2 linked regions of the Macaca fascicularis genome follow. Each later gene encodes a partner of the first gene's protein in a complex. Links are inferred from orthologs where the notes say so. Each region holds a gene or a part of one and is shown in the gene's direction. Other genes may lie near its edges.

Evidence for each region.
Region 2: the proteins of S100A10 (region 1) and HLTF are in contact, whole or in part, in a crystal structure (PDB 4HRE), measured with the Homo sapiens proteins. The link is inferred for Macaca fascicularis from reciprocal best matches to the Homo sapiens genes S100A10 and HLTF. Residues at the interface, in NP_002957.1 of Homo sapiens: Phe42, Asp58, Leu59, Asp60, Gln61, Gln70, Ser74, Leu75, Ala77, Gly78, Leu79, Ile81, Ala82, Tyr86; in NP_001305864.1 of Homo sapiens: Thr32, Phe33, Phe34, Pro35, Phe37, Phe39.

Annotation. Positions count from the first base shown.
Region 1 is NC_088375.1:109,196,874-109,200,650, forward strand, and holds part of S100A10 (protein S100-A10), read left to right. Parts: intron 1-3,252; coding exon 3,253-3,405; intron 3,406-3,777. UniProt on the Homo sapiens protein: Because S100A10 induces the dimerization of ANXA2/p36, it may function as a regulator of protein phosphorylation in that the ANXA2 monomer is the preferred target (in vitro) of tyrosine-specific kinase.
Region 2 is NC_088376.1:51,897,662-51,902,020, reverse strand, and holds the start of HLTF (helicase-like transcription factor), read left to right. Parts: upstream 1-1,297; 5' UTR 1,298-1,495; coding exon 1,496-1,515; intron 1,516-2,947; coding exon 2,948-3,155; intron 3,156-4,359. UniProt on the Homo sapiens protein: Has both helicase and E3 ubiquitin ligase activities. Possesses intrinsic ATP-dependent nucleosome-remodeling activity; This activity may be required for transcriptional activation or repression of specific target promoters.

The DNA of each region.
Region 1 (3,777 bases):
ATGCCAGATTGAAGTCCCTGAAGAGCTTCAGTTTTAGCGGCTAATAGTCAGTGTTGCAGACAGCCCTGCCCAGGCAAGCCCTACCCAAGAACGGAGGGCCAGGCAGGGCTGACTCAATCGGGTAACTGTTGGCTGCAGTCATGATTCATCCTCTAGCCAAGAGAACAGTTTTAATCACAACATTTCCCCCTTTACTTTGTCTTATTTTAGAGCCAGTGTGCAGCTCCTTCAAAACAGAGTTCCTTGCTGTGGCCCTGGTCAGTGCCCTTTGGGGCACTGGTTACTGAGGAGACAAAGGCTTCCCCCCTAGTTTTCAATGCTATTTTCACCTCCTGGCTAGCCCCTGCTCTGCATCCTTATTGCAGAAGGTCTACTGGACACATAGGGAGTCAGCTGGCTGCAGTATTCATAACCCATCCACTGAATAAAACAGCTGGGGGAGGAGGGGAGGGGAGGACACAGTGGGAGAAGGATGTAACTTCAGAGAGGGAAGCTCCATCACTTCGTAATGGCTGTGGGCAAGAGAGACATGGGACTGAGTGACTTCAGACCTGAGCACTCACTTGCTCTCTTGAAGAAGATACTCAAGGGTGGCCAGGATTTCCTCGACTGACAACTTGTATTTCTTAGGAGCTCCTAAATTCGCCTTTTTAAAATTTAGAGGTCCTTACCCTGCTGCATTCCCTTTCTTAATTCTGCACTTTCCTTCTGCCCTGTCATCTGAAAAAGGTAAACTAGGTACCCCACCCAGTTCCAATTTCTGGGATCTTTGGGAATTGATCCTGAAGTGCTCTGCTGCTCTGAACTTGAGCACAGTTATTTTTAAACCTCTGTGGTGTCTGACTCCTTTCCTGAGTTATTTAAGAACTGGGGTGAGATCCCATGTCCTTCTCCCAGAGGTGACTCGCCCAGTTCAGTTCTCTTAAATTGCTGGACTTGGAGTACCAATCTAGGCAAGGCAGACTCTCTGTAAGCCCACTGCCATCTGAAGCCCATATGAGGGATGGGGGATGAGCCAGATCTGAGCTGTGTCAGAAGAGAAGGAAAAGGGTGTGGTTCCCCTGGAATTCATCTCACAGCAGACCCTGAAGCATTAATTTGCAGCTCTCTCCAAGATAACTAACTACCTTTCAGATGACTCATGCCAGATTTTGATTTATAGCATTCTTTGGCCTGCTGGTTCCCATACTTTTCTGGAGATTAATGGGTAGAATTTACAATTCTTAAGTGTTAATTGCTCAATCCTCATGTTTACCAACTCCACCTTCTCCTCTGTAAAAGAAAGCATTTGAGAATCAGTGTTGAATAGGCATCTCTCAGAGACAGGAACCAGACCAAATTATGTCTCAGGTTCCTGTTAGAGTTCTTCAGCAGAGGAATTTGCCAGCCCTTCAATCTAAACTCAAAGCGTATTCTTGTGATTTATTTATTTTTATTTTTTAGTGCTATATTACAGTCTCCATTTGTGTTCACCTGTTTCCTATCCAGTAGTGATTTTAGATGATATTAGCCAAAGCTTATCTGTTCTGGCCAAATGATTCCTTCCAATTAAGCCAAAATTCACTGAGGTTCTATTAAGTACCACATACTGGGTCTTGATGAGACATATACCCCTAGTTCATTATGCCTGAATGTAATGATCTGACATGTTTCCTTTCCTTTCTTATAAATGCTTCATGATGAAAGCTCTTGCTCTCCCAGTGTACCCCAGACTGTGAGAGCAGCGCATCTGTCTAGTGTCACTAAAAACATAGAAGACCCTCAAATGAGTTAGGTTATAGTATTACTTGTTGCTTCTCAAGTGAAGTAGACAATGGACTTTGAGTAGTTTTTTTATTTGGGTAGATCAACTGCATTTTACTGCCAGAGATGCAGCTGTCTTTATTGCAATAAATAACAAGTTCAGAACTTTAGTAAAGAATACATATATACCCAGCAGATAAATTCATTTGTAAGCAGATTTCTAAACCCTAGAATCAGACTGAACCAAGTTACCACGTTAAGCTTAGAAGGTTGAAGTTTTCATATTCACCAGGCTTGACTGTGTGTATTGTTAGTATCAGCCATATCTAAGAATCCCATTTACTAGTGCCAAGAGAAATTATGAACTATCTGTTCTTTCAGTAGGTGCTTTGTCAGTAAAAAGAGGAACACTGGGCTGGGCGCAATGGCTTACGCCTGTAATCCCAGCACTTTGGGAGGCTGAGGTGGGCAGATCACCTGAGGTCAGAGTTTGAGACCAGCCTGCCCAACATGGCAAAACCCCATCTCTACTAAAAATACAAAAAATTAGCCAGGCGTAGTGGCGGGCGCCTGTAATCCCAGCTGAGAGATTACAGGAGATTACGGGAGGCTGAGGCAGAAGAATCGCTTGAACCTGGGAGGCGGAGGTTGCAGTGAGCCGAGATCACACCACTGCACTCCAGCCTGGGCAACAAGAGCGAAACTCCATCTCAAAAAAAAAAAAAAAAAAGAGGAACACTGATCTTGCTTTTCTAAATGATTAGAGTTTCTGTTCTTTATTAGGTTATTTATGCAAATTAGCTGGAGTTAGATAAACCCCTTTATTTACAGCACCAGTACCTGAGGTGTCTATTTCTACCAACAAGAGACCCAGACTAGGGTGGTCTGGCTCTTAGATTCATTCACTGAATTTTAAAGCTGGAGAGGATCAGATGAATGATCTCATCTCCATCATTCCAATTATCCTAAAAAGGTTGGCAATACATATGGCTTAAAAGTTAATGTAAACCCACCTAGATGAACCTGGAGGACATTATGCTTAGTGAAATAAGCCAAGCACAGAAAGACAGTTACCAGATGATCTCACTCATGTGGAATCTTAAACACTGAATTTCATAGAACTGAAGAATAGAATGGGCTGGGGTGATTGCACTGGAGTGATGTTGAGGCAATGTTAGTCAAAAGATACAAAATTTCAGTTAGGAGGAATAAGTTTAAGAGATCTACTGTACAACAATGTGACTGTAGTTAATAACAATGTATTGTATTCTTGACAAATAGTTAAGAGTGGCTAAGTGTTCTCACCACAAAAGTGCTAACTATGTGAGGTAATGCATATGTTAATTAGCTAGATTCAGTCATCCCACAATGTATATATACCTCAAAACATCATGTTGTACACGTTAAATACATACAATATTATCTTTCAATTTAAAAAAAAATAAATTCATTCATAAAGTCTGCCAAAAGAAGTTAATGTAGACCCTGTTTCTTTACATCCTTTAATAGGCTTCAACAGACCACACCAAAATGCCGTCTCAAATGGAGCATGCCATGGAAACCATGATGTTTACATTTCACAAATTCGCGGGGGATAAAGGCTACTTAACAAAGGAGGACCTGAGAGTACTCATGGAAAAGGAGTTTCCTGGATTTTTGGAAGTAAGTGTTGAAAGGCTTACAAAGAACCAGACATAAAAGTCAGTGCTTCTAGGCCTTGGTTCCTTTTCCTTCTTGTTTCCATCCCTTCCCTGTGGAGGTCACCACTAGTGAATGAATGAATGTAGTCACCTGAAGGAAGGAAGGAATGAATGAGGTCATTCATTCATTTATTAAATAATATTGAGTACCTGCTATTTGTAAGATACTGTTGAGGAAATAGAAAGTAATGAAGACACGGCGCCAGCCTTCAAGGAGCTTACAGTCTGCAGGTGAAATAAGACTACATACAAATAACTACGATGTGAGCTGTTTGTTGGAAAATCCCATCTGGTTATCTGTGTCTGTTGTGATGATGTTGGGGACAGAGTTGGG
Region 2 (4,359 bases), on another chromosome or scaffold:
GAGGTCAGGAGTTCAAGACAGCCTGGACAACATGGTGAAATCCCATCTCTACTAAAAACACAAAAATTAGCTGGGCGTGGTGGCGGGCGCTTGTAATCTCGGCTGCTCGAGAGGCTGAGGCAGGAGAATCGCTTGAACCCGGGAGGTGGAGGCTGCAGTGAGCCAAGATCGCACCATTGCACTCCCGCCTGGGGGACAGAGCGAGACTCCGTCTCAATAAAAAAGAGAAAAAACAGAAAAAGAAAAAAGAAAAGAAAAGCTGACCACCTAGTATTATTGTGTTGACGGGCGTGTAATGTGGACCTCTCTGTGACGGGCAAGTATTCTCTGGCAGTTACACGGCACCGCCTGTGCAGATCGGCGCCATCACCGGCTTCCCGCCCTGTGCGATTAAAAGGCCACCTTCGGGGACAGCAGCCTCCTCTCCATCCCCAACGCGCAGGGACCAGCCCTGATAGGCGTGGGCTGCAGCTGGTCCAAGGCTGACGGTCCCAGGGCTGCATTCTCCTTCCAGTCACCTCAGACTCTGGAAAGCGAGCCGTGGAGGGCCTCAGAGCGCCCCTCTGCAGTTCCTTGGGGAAAACAAGGGTCTCCCCAGCTGGGCTGGAGCAGCCACGTGCCCACTGGGAAAAGGGTCCTGTCCACCATTTCCGGCAAACGCCCCCATAGCTGTGATAAACATGTGATGGCTTTCCTGTACCAAGAAAGGAAAATTTTCCTTAAAAATAACGAAAAGAGGTGGGGAGGGGACTCTAAGTTCCATTTAAGATTTTCCAAACTCGTTGTGTCTCATCCATACGCTGAGGCTTAGCATGAAAATTTGGAGCGAAAGTCCCCAGGGTTCACCACAGGGAATGAAACAAAGTATCTCGCCGGTAGCTCCAGGTCTCGTAAACCGTGGAGCTCCTTCAGTATAACGCCCTATTACGTGCCACATTAGATGAGGAGGAAATAAGAGGAAGGATACGGTAGAGGCTTTAGAATGGGGTTGAGTCTTAGGACTTGTGGGGTAAAGGAAAGTCGTTTCCCTCCGTTTAAGGCAGGGAATCAAACAAAACGCCGGCACCGCAGGCACCGCAGTCGCACTCCTGGGGCCTCGTGGCTTTCCCGCGCGCCCGCCTTGGGGGCGGGGAAGAACCCGGATGGAACCACCCTTGCAGCCGGGACCCCCCGCAGTCTTTGAATGGCAGCGGGGCGGAGTTGCCCTCCCTTCTGTGCTCTGATTGGTTTGGCTCCGCACTCTTCTCTTCGTGATTGGGCTTTCCTAGTGCCAGTCACAGAGCGACGCTGGTCTCCCAGATTGTTGCTAGAAGGAGACAGCGTCGACGTCTGACTAGACTCGCAGCGACTTATCTTTCAGTCGTACGCTCCTTATCCGGCGCTCGGAATTTGTTCCCGGCTTCAGGGCTGCGGGACCTGGAACGAGGCGTATCGAGGCGGCTCGAGAACGATCCAGGGGAGCCGAGGCGCTCCTCTTGTCATCCCACTCAGCGCCATGTCCTGGATGTTCAAGAGGTGAAGGGGGCGGAGGGGGTGGGGCGCTGGGGCTAAGGGCCTGGAGGCGTCCCCAAATGAACCTGACCTTCCCCGCGTTCCTCCACGTTCCCCGGGCGATTTGTGCAGCTGTATTCGTTCTGTTGGTCGCATATGTGGCCGCGGGAGAAATAAATGCATTGTCTTGGCTGGCGAGTAGGGGCTATTAGGGCGAGTCTCGTGTTAGGGACTTGGGAAATCTCTGTCACCGACTGTGGGGGGCCTGGGGCTTAAAGCCTCTCGGCCCATGCGTTATTCAACAAAACATCCATTAGATACCCACTGTGCGGCAGGCATTATGCTCGGTGGAGGGCCGAGTAAGCCAGCCGTTGTCCCCAAGTGGCTCACAGCTTATGTGTATGCACAGACGTGCAGATACGTATTTGCAGAGGAGCTAATAGAGAGAATGCGCCACTTGCAAGGAAAACGCAGCGCAAATAAGCGACTGTTCTTAGGAGAATGGAAACTTTCTGCAATGCTCCAGTAGACTTCCCCTCACTTTTCATTGTCCAAATTGGTTTTTATGGTCATTCCCGAAACAGTTACACGTAACGGGTTTGGGGTAATGCTTAAACCAGCGACGGGAGGCGGGTACGGGTGGCTTGGGGCCAATTTCCCACGGTGGCGTGGCTTAGATACCAGAATAAAGTAAGTGTTCTGCTCGGAGGGAGTTACAGTGATGGATGCTGGATGTATTTTCTGGAAAATTATAAACAACTTCGTATACAATAGTAGTTGTATTTTTGTAAGTCTTTTGTAGCTGAATCCCTATTGAAATTTTGGCATATAATTTTATTTTTTTAATAATTTATATTTTTGAGATGGAGTCTCGCTCTCTCGTCCAGGCTGGAGTGCAGTGGCACAATCTTGGCTCACTGCACCCTCCGCCTCCCGGGTTCAAGAGATTCTCCAGCCTCCCGAGTAGCTGGGATTACAGATGTGCGCCACCACGCCCGGCTAATTTTTGTATTTGTAGTAGAGACAGGGTTTCACCATGTTGGCCAGGTTGGTCTCAAATTCCTGACCTCAGGTGATCCACCTGCCTCTGCCTCCCACAGTGCTGGGATTCCAGGCGTGAGCTACCACATCTGGCCCATAATTGTATTTACAGACATCATATACATTTCAGTTTAGATGATTTTCACTAGGAAAGATATTAGTGAGCTCTGACTAGGCTTTTCATTTTGAATTCCTAGGGGGCAGGTAGAAGAGCCAATATTGAAAACAGGTAAAGTTCCCGGGAAGCCTTCTCCACTCACTGCAATTCCTGCTTTAACGAGAGTAACTAACTATTAATCTTTACTGTGATTCCCATGTAAGATTTCATTTGCTGAAGTAAAGCATGAGAAAACCACTCATATGGTCTTTGGAAGTACTTAAATACTGTTTTTCTTTGCCTTTAAAAAAAAAATAGGGATCCTGTTTGGAAGTACTTGCAGATTGTGCAGTATGGAGTTCATGGAAATTTTCCACGCCTCTCATATCCAACTTTCTTTCCACGTTTTGAGTTCCAAGATGTTATCCCTCCAGATGACTTCCTAACTAGTGATGAAGAACTAGATTCCGTTTTATTTGGAAGTTTGAGAGGTCATGTGGTTGGACTACGCTATTACACGGGAGTAGTGAGTATAATAGTAGATAACTAAATTAAATTTTGATTATATTTGTGGCGTTAATCTAGAAAATAAGAGAATTAGCAGGTGATGTGTACGGTTCATCTTTATTTTACTTTAAGTTAATGAAATATTTGTACCCCAAAAATAAAAAATACCTCAAGTGACCCTCCCACCTCAGCCTCCCAGAGTGTTGGGATTACAGGAGTGAGCCACTATGCTTGGTCTCAGTGCGTTATGTTTAGTTATTATGGGTAACACCCCGCCCCCACACCCCAGTGCCTTGTTCATGTCATCGATTTGTTGCAAAAAGGAGGTAGTTTTGTGAAATCTTCTGGATTTTATTCTTTCATTTCTCCGTATGTTTCTTACTTTTAAGCTTCTTAAATCTTTTTTATTTTTGGGTGTCTGAAGCATGTTCAGCAGGAGATTCCTTGGGAGTTTCATGTTCTGGATTTGTTTTTCTCCTATATTTCCTTTACATTGGAACTTTACAAGTTGTTTTTTGATTGTCTGAAATGTGTTGTCTAGGAGATTCCTTAGGGAGAAACAGTATTTCCTAAGTTTTTGTCATAATTGTGGCATTTTATGAATGACAGTTTCATAAAATGAAAGTTGTGAAGGACTTAATGACAGTTGGGCTGAATTTAAAATCTTTGTAATATATAGTTTCTCTCCATATCCTAATGTTGTATAGAATTTTCAGGCCAGTGTGATTTTCTCTTTCACTTAAGAGAATTGGATTTTTTTTTTTTCCCTTTTTTTTTTGAGACCAAGTTTCGTTTTGTTGCCCAGGCTGGAGTGCAGTGGCCTGATCTGGCCTCACGGCAATCTCTGCCTCTCAGACTCAAGCAATTCTCCCACTTCAGCCTCCCGAGTAGCTGGGACTGCAGGTGTTTGCCACCATACCCAGCTAGTTTTTGTATTTTTTTTTGTATTTTTTTGTAGGTTTTGGTATGTTGTCCAGGCTGATCTGGAACTCCTGGGCTCAAGTGATCCGCCCACCTTGGCCTCCCCACGCGCTGAGATTCTGTGCCCAGCCTCTAGTTTTTTCTAATAGATTCTTGAAATCTATCAGTTCTTATTTCGTATCTATGTATTCTCTAGCTCTCATATGCATTTCTGAGCTTTTCTGTTTCAGATTTGTGCTAATTTTTCAAAACTTACATTGTTTTCAATAATTATTTTATACCACCATGAAATACTAGATTAT